Xenopus tropicalis: one gene and its partner. The protein of the gene in region 1 binds, or shares a complex with, the protein of each later gene. Links are inferred from orthologs where the notes say so. Each region holds a gene or a part of one and is shown in the gene's direction. Other genes may lie near its edges. The genes, in order: tacr1 and tac1.

The links.
Region 2: the proteins of tacr1 (region 1) and tac1 are in contact, whole or in part, in a cryo-EM structure (PDB 7P02), measured with the Homo sapiens proteins. The link is inferred for Xenopus tropicalis from reciprocal best matches to the Homo sapiens genes TACR1 and TAC1. Residues at the interface, in NP_001049.1 of Homo sapiens: Gln24, Phe25, Asn85, Asn89, Tyr92, Ala93, Asn96, Trp98, His108, Asn109, Ile113, Gln165, Met174, Arg177, Val179, Cys180, Met181, Ile182, His197, Val200, Phe264, Phe267, Phe268, Tyr278, Leu279, Ile283, Gln284, Tyr287, Met291; in NP_003173.1 of Homo sapiens: Lys60, Pro61, Gln62, Gln63, Phe64, Phe65, Gly66, Leu67, Met68.

Annotation. Positions count from the first base shown.
Region 1 is NC_030679.2:121,668,236-121,672,060, forward strand, and holds part of tacr1 (substance-P receptor), read left to right. Parts: intron 1-2,531; coding exon 2,532-2,726; intron 2,727-3,825. UniProt on the Homo sapiens protein: This is a receptor for the tachykinin neuropeptide substance P. It is probably associated with G proteins that activate a phosphatidylinositol-calcium second messenger system.
Region 2 is NC_030682.2:34,192,122-34,196,728, reverse strand, and holds the start of tac1 (protachykinin-1), read left to right. Parts: upstream 1-1,759; 5' UTR 1,760-1,895; intron 1,896-2,094; 5' UTR 2,095-2,230; coding exon 2,231-2,341; intron 2,342-4,607. UniProt on the Homo sapiens protein: Tachykinins are active peptides which excite neurons, evoke behavioral responses, are potent vasodilators and secretagogues, and contract (directly or indirectly) many smooth muscles.

The DNA of each region.
Region 1 (3,825 bases):
CATGATACAGGTATTATGACATTTAGAGAAAAATGGAAGAGCTAATTTAAAGGAGCATTTTCAGTGAGACAATAGCATCACCAGCTGTTTCCCTTGGCTCACAGCAGGCAGGTATGTGGCCTGTTTAGCACTTTCATAGGACCATGCAGAATGGAAGCTGGAATGCAGTGAGTCTGATTAAAGGGACTGGGAGAAACCTTATTTTCCCAGATGTAAAGATGTAACCTGTGCCAAAAGTATTCTTTTTGTATTACTGAGGACACAAAAGATGCTGGGAGTTATTCTATTGTAGAAGTTTAAGATACAAATTACATCAGGTTTAATGGAATTCTGTGCCATATTGTGCTAATTAAAATAGCTTGGGGAATGGGTATAGCAATAGGCAGCTATATCATTTTAGGATAACTGCTACATCTGGACTAATACTCAGCTCAGAAGAATTATGAAACCATTCCTTTAATACTATGGTGTGTAAATTCTATTGCATATAGTTACCAGCCTACAGTGTATATGATGTTAGCCTTTTATTTATTAGTATATAGTTGCTTTATTTGTTGTTGTTAGTAATAAGTAAAGGTGGCCATACACAGGGAGATTTAAGTTGCCGATTCGCCAACTTATTTGTCTGTATATGGGTCCCTCCGACTGGCCTACCCAGCCAATACCTGTATCTGGCTGAATATCACCCAGATGTCCATTGGGCAGGTTTGCCTGATTGACATCTGGTTTGCCCATCAGATTGAGGATTTCATCTGCATGTTGATGTGGCCCTTCATCCAACAGCCTGCATATCAATTAAGATCCTACCATTGGTCTGAGGGTCAAATGATTGGATCAGCTTGGTATTGCCCACCCCAAGGTAGGCATACAGGTGTAAAATCTGCTCATTTGGCAACTTTGCTGGATCTTCATGTGTATGACCAGCTTTAGTTCTGTGCATTTTCTAACTTTTTTTAAAAATGATAGACTAAAAAATATTTGTCTCAAGCCATAATCAATGGTCATGTAATATAAGTCAGCACGACCACCTTAAATGTTTCATCTTACATGAGCAATATAAACAGCCTAATAGGCTACACAATGAGTCTACATTGCGTGCCAGGTACATTACAAGTCATTGGTTGCATAGTTAACTGGGGTTGAAAAAAGACAAAAGTCTATACAGACCTATCAATGCACTGTAAAGTGTCGGAAACACAATGAAACAGATGAGCGATTGACACCAGCAATATGCACCTGGCCCTTAGGCAGATCAGTTGTGTTGACTCTGTGTATTATGTGAACTGTGTCGTGCAAGTTTTACCAAGAAAGTGGGATTCTGAGAAAATCAAATAAAACTGATTTAGCCTCTGTGTATCAGTTTGTGCCACAATACATCCCAGTGAATTTTCACGTTTTATTACTAAATAAATGTTGCATTCAGACACTAATCTTTCAGTCTTTCTCCAGCTCATTCTTTCACAGGAAAGATTCTGTGCAGCTAAACTTCACCCTAAGAAATAATTCCAATTTCTTTTCTATTGTGTTTATTAAGCAAAATTAACTTCACATACTATATAAATGATATATATCTTGTTTCCTTCAGTCTTGGGAACATACAATCACAGCAAGCAGGCAGCTGCCATTTTGTGGGCACTGTTATTAAGGCAAGCTTTGTATCACCCCAGAATCTTGTATATGTGCCAGAATGGGGGACCTGATGCCCATGTCCATGCACTGGTTACATAATTACATGGTGAGGAGGGAGGGGGAATGTGAGTGCTGAATGGAAAGTTTAAGTAATTGTCTGCCCCGCCTCTGTGCCTAAGGCTTAGAGGCGGGGCAGGCAGTATATGATTGACAGCTGTGATTTTTAAATGCATTTATAATGGGTTTGAATGTGTTAATATAAAAATTAATTGTGGTTTCATGTTTAATTTGAAAAGGACTTTTATTATACAGCTTTTCATGTCTGGGTGACAGGTCCACTTTAAGCATTAAGGCTCATTATGGCTAAAGCCAGGGCATAGGATCTTCTTTCCTTGGCTTCTAAGGCCACACCTTAACACTTGGACCCACTGGGCATGAAAAAAGAAAGCCCTCCCTGAACAAATAAATATAGAGAATCAGTAGAACCTATCCTCTATCTCAGTGCCATCCAACTTACTTACTAGAATGGCCCCATTATTTCTCATCATCATATTTGACAGCTGGACCCAGTTAAAATGGTGATGACATTACAGTGAAGACTATGGAGCCTTTCAGCATACTGGGGGCCATAAAAACCCTCCAGGGGAGCCTACAGTTGGTCAGTCCTGCTGTAGCTCTGTGATTTCTGTCACATGAATTATACATGCTTATTATAACAAATAATGGCCCCCCGTTGTAAAAGGACATGGGTGAGGAGAAGCGTGAGGGACCTGGAGATTACAGTGTAGACCAAGGACGGAGCTCTGCAGAATGCTCTGTTTATTTGGCAAATTAACTGTATCAATGCTGGAAGTGTTGTTAAAGTGGATATCAAATCAGTTTCTCTTTTTGCTCCTCAACAGGTATATGGCCATCATCCATCCACTGAAGCCAAGGTTGTCGGCCACAGCCACTAGGATAGTGATTGCTGTCATCTGGGGTTTTGCCTTTGCATTAGCCTTTCCTCAGGGATACTTCGCCACTGTTGAACCTACACCGGATAGAGTTGTTTGCTACATGGAGTGGCCGGAATCTGAGAACAGGAAGTTTGAGAAAGTGTGAGTATATCATTTATATGCGTATTGTCCTCTATTTCCGCTCTAAATCTGGAAAACTAACCGGTTGCATATGTAAATGGATTATATAACCATTTATGCATTGAACAAAAATGTGTAATTTTAATATTACTGCCAGGGACACCCATGGAGGCAAAAAAGCCATCTTTTTTTTTTTATTACAGAAATGTCTTTATACCACATGTCCCCATTAAGTCCATATGTGGTGCCATAAGTGTTTAGAGGTTATATCCTCCTACTCTCTTGTTGCAGAAGGATTTAATCCAAATCACCACCTCTATCCCTGGGTATTTTTCTTTTGTGTCTCTTGAGACCAGGTTTTTTTCCCGGTGCCCAGCCGGCCCAGTCCGACCCTGTATAAATTCTCCAAGTTTTAATGCCACCTCACTTCACCAACTCTTTGTATTGTGTATTAAATGTACTAATGACCCTATTAAAATCTTTATCAAGTGCTGAGGTTTTGATTTCCCTTTAAATATTTACTGAAAATTATAACTTGTAAAAGGGATTTTAGTTGTCTGGTAAGCCAGGTGCAGAATTTTAGTTCCATCCCCTCACTCTTTGAATCCAAGGACAAGTTTCTGTGCTTCTTGTTTAAAACATTCATCATTGCATTAGTTCCATGTAAGTATACGTTACTGGCTGAGATGAATGGTGCAAGGTGCAGACAGCAACGTCGGGGATACAAGCCATGCCTGTCCTTACCTTCTGCCACCGTATGTCACCAACACAGTTCTGGCTATATCAGTCAGCACTATATTCATGGGGTCAGCGACACATCTCTGTTTATGCTCCGAAACAGAGGACAGAGCATTTGTAAAGAACAAAAGAGTGTGCAAAGTACAAAAATCACAAATTGCAGCCATTAATTAACCAGCTCTTCTTTCCTGAGCCCCCTTCTGCATGTCTTATTTCTTTCCATCCTGTAATGGCCTCTGAAGTCTCCCGGCTTCTCTCGTCATCTCCGCTCACAACTTGAATCATTTCACTAACTTTTTATACCAGTATTTATTAGACAAAATCTTAGAGCACACACAAATACATTGATTGTATTTATTATCACTACATTTGAGCACTGACA
Region 2 (4,607 bases), on another chromosome or scaffold:
TTTTATTATGATTGATTATTGCTGGGGGAGAAGTATTTAAATGACAAGGTCAATTACACAGTTTTGTACTATAGGGTTGATTCACAAAAGGTCGATAAGCTTTATCGCATGCTTTTTTGCGTTAGAATTGACGCAAAAAAACGTGCGATTTGCTAAAGTATTATCGCATGCGTTAAGTTGCATATCACATGCGTTAAATAGAGTGCAACCGATTGCATTCATTTTAATGCATTGCGTTAATTCTGGCTCAGAAATAATACTAACGCATGATTCACAAACACTTAGACACGCTAAATATCGCATTTGCGTATGCAAAAATTAACACCTACTTGGGGCAGGCGGTAATTATAGAAAAGTACAGTTCATGAGCTTTTGGCAATATGGACTTTGCAGTGGGATTTATTCAAGTCTGTGTTGGCCCTAGAGTGATGCAGCCGCCAGTTTGCAGGGAAATGGTCATTTTCAGAACAGTAGTTTTCCGTAAGTAATGGCGTGTACTGCTAATATGGCGTGCACACACGGCAACAGTTTGTGCGCGCTGCGTTAATTAGCGCGTGTTGCGTCAAATACCGCACGAAAATAGTCTTTGCGACATAAATACCGCAAACAGCATTGCGTCTAAATTAACGCAAGTATCCTTTTAGTGAAGACGCGGAAAATAAGATGCGATAAAATTTTTAACGCATGCTATAAATAGCGCTCATTTTAACACACCTTAGTGAATCAACCCTTATATGTGTTAAATAACATTATAGAATAAGCAGTATATTAGTTAACTAAAGAGAAATATTTTATTTTTCAGATTTCTTTTGGCTTCTCATTATCTTCATCTTTGTTCCTCGCCCCCAAGTGTCCATACATAACTTTCCTCTTTCTCCCCACAAGGCAGGTCTGTGTTTTTGGCATGAAATTGGCAGGATTACAAGCCAAGACCAGACACTTTTAGATTGTAAGCTCTAATGAACAGGGCTGTCTTTAACTCTTGTATCAATCAGTATTTATATACAATATGTATATAAGATGAGTACCTTTCTATTGTGCAGCGCTGTGAAATATGTTGATGCTATATAAATACATAATAATAACTTCTGAAAGCCTCATTTTAAGGTAATTTCAAGAGTCTTTTGAATTCTGCTGCAAGACCTATACATTTTTCTCCCCAGCTTTTTCTATAGCCACTGTAATCTAAACTAGTTATTCCCATTTTTGCAGTAGGAAAACACTATAGAAAATCTACCACCTGAGTAGTGGGAATCAGTAGTCTAGATTCTTTAGCTGTAGGGGTCTTCTTCATGCCAAATGGACCCTGATAAATCATCCCCATTGCTCTATTTCCATACTAAATATATGTATAACTGCCTCCTGAGTTTAGCCGCTAGATACTACAACTTCATTGAAATAAAAATTAGAGATAAAGATTTATATGATTCATTGTTGGTGACAAAGGGCTCCCACGTTTTATTTCTATCGGCAGAGAATAAAGGAATTTATCAGTTTGGAGTGCAAAGATTTTCGTAAATGACGTCACGTCTCATAAATTGCGTGGAGTCATTGCCATCAGCGGGTCACCTCCAGGGGAAGTGTCATTCTATGTTTCAGAGGAAAAAAAAGGGAGGTAGGATTAAAGAACAAGTAGGGAAGCCTCTAAATTCTGTAATGGAATATTGATAGGAAATACTGCTGGGGGAATATACGTCATATTGTTTCCCCCTGCTTCATATGGTAAATAGACTGAGTGCAGTAATTAGATTTAGGAACACGAAGCTCCTCTGGACCTGCCCATCTCCACTTATATATAGTGGAGAGCTCTCCAGAGTGTATTCAGATAGACACTGTATTCACAGGCACACGAGCCTGGGTGGGTGACAGAAGAACAGCCTCTTCTACTGAGTACAGTAAGTGCATTTAGGACTCTGACATTGCTTGATCCCAGCAAAGAATTTCTAGTAAGATGTGGGAAAGACTGAATGAAACTTACCTCCCTTATTTTATTTACACTAATCCATGAAAGTAGATATGTATTGTTTTCTTCTGTTATGTCTGTTACTTTGCATTAATAGAAAGTAATTCTCTCCTCTTTTCTCTCTGTTGCAGAAATACAGATCCACCCAGCTGAGCTGCTGCTAAATATTCTTACTGATCCTTCTGCACTTAAGTGTCTTCTCCGCACCTGCCTCCGACACCGTGCAGGGCAATTTACTGCAGCCTCCTACAGTGAATACAGGGTGCCATGAAAATCCTTGTAGCATTTGCTGTCGTTCTTCTGGTTTCAGCACAAGTGTTTGCGGCAGAAATTGGATTTAATGAAGACAGTGACTGGCCTTACAGCGACCAAATTCAGGTGGGATACTCACTAAATAATGCTAAATTCTGAAATATGAAATACTTTTGACATCTGTTTTTGCAGTCACAAATATACACCTATAGATTTAAACACTATAGGCAGAATATGTATACAATGTGTATATGTGTAGAGCAAACTTGTACCATCAACAATGTAAAGTCTACCTGTAAACTCCATGAATTGCATGGATAAAAGTGACAGCATCAGAACATGGCACGAATGTGGCTGCTGCCTTTTCCATACTTTGTCTATATTGAACTTACATTGTTCTAAGTTAGAAGGAAAGTGAGAGCAGGCATTATTTACATGTAAACAGTTTTACTATTACAGAACAAAACATACATGAAATACATCCACCAAGATATAATGGTTATTATATTGAATAACGTGTTTATTTCCTATCCTTCCCCTTTTCCTGCAATATGTAATTGATCAAAGAAACTATACCAACAATGAAATCATAAGGATATTAATAGTATTGAAACGTAAATGCATGGTCCTAATGTTTCAGCTTAAAATAACAGAATTTGCTAAATCTACCAAACTTGATATAACTGGGGTAGTAGAGTGAGAGCTGGGCAGTCAAGTACTGATCTTTTGTGTTTCTGAGCAATATATTGGTACAGGTGTGGGATCCGTTATCCGGAAACCTGTTAACCAGAAAGATCTGAAATACGGGAAGGCCATCTCCTATAGACTCCATATTAATCATATAATTAAAATTTTGATGATGATTTCCTTTTTCTCAGTAATAATAAAACAGTACCTTGTACTTAATCCTAATTAAGATAAAGTATAATGAATCCTTACTAAAGGCAACATAATCCTACTGAATTTATTTAGTTTTTAAATGATTTTTAGAAGACTCGAGTATTGAGATCCAAATTACGGAAGGACCTATTCGGGATACCCCAGATCCCCAGCATTCTGGATAACAGGTCCCATAACTGTAAAAATATGTTAAATAATTTTATACTGATTAGTATACAATTTCCTGTCAGAGAAAACAGTGACTATCTCCTATGTCAAAAAGAGAAAAAATAAATATATTTGCTGTACACATTTGTAATAACTAAAACTTCTCTGAGCCATGTGTACAAGTAACTTGCAAAAGTGGCAAAGGCTGTAAATTATTAATGCCAGGGGAGTCCCAGATTGCTGCTGTTATTGCCTGGTGCAAATGAACAATGGTTTTTCCCAGGTGGCTGAGTGTTGAAATGAGTTTTCATAATGATCTCTGGGTTAAGGTAATTGCAGAGTGTTTTCCTCTCCTGCTCTGGATAATTGGGGCAATGATGAACTGCTTTCCTCTAGTATGCCTTTAGCCTGTTAAGACCATATTTTGGGAAATCTGAGAATATCACTGAAGTAGCATCGCTATTTCCCTGTTTCCCAGGTTGTATAAATATTTCAGCACAGGGGGAGACTTGAACTCGCTGCATTTGCTTTTGACTTGCTCCTTTGGTGGTTAACTCCCCGTGGGGCATGTTTATGAATGTGCGCCTTAGCGCATCTGAGATCTCTTAACCCAGTCCTGATTTATATGCCATAAATCAGCATCAGGCATCAGGTAGGTCTCCAGGGCGCTGCAATAAAAACTGCTCTGGTGTCCTGGGGATTCAAAATCATCTTATGGGAGATATAAAACTCAGCATTGTGCCATTAGTTTTATTAACAGCTACTGCCAAACCCATGTCAGAAAACCCAATGCAGTCAGTAGAAGTAGCAACATTTGCTTAGGAAAGTGAAAATCAATCATATAGAACAGATTTACTAGTATCTCTTTAAGCCTGAGAATGCTCTTACTATAGAAATCAGCAATAAATACTATATACTGTATGTACAGCACAACCAGCACTGAGTGTTTATTTTATTTATCCATTAATAGTAGAATTTAGCCTCATTTTTCTGAAATCTAGTCAGGATTTAAATTTTTCTTACCTTTTAGATGCTTTCACGCACCTTTATTAAAGCATAGGGTTTTAAAAAAATAAACCCTATCATAACTCCCCCCAATACACATTTAATGCTCATGTTAAGTAGTTAAAGGCAAAATATTGTCTATTTATATAAAGGATCTTATTTTTCACTGTCCATATACTTATATGAATACATGTATTTATGCCATATTGTTTGCTATCCGGAGGTAATGCTGAACACAGTCCATAGATTTCATGCACAGTGCCCTTGTTTGACCTCAGTTTTAACAAGCTATAAGACATTACAGCAGCACCTCTTTGCGACTGGGTTCTTAAAATGAAAA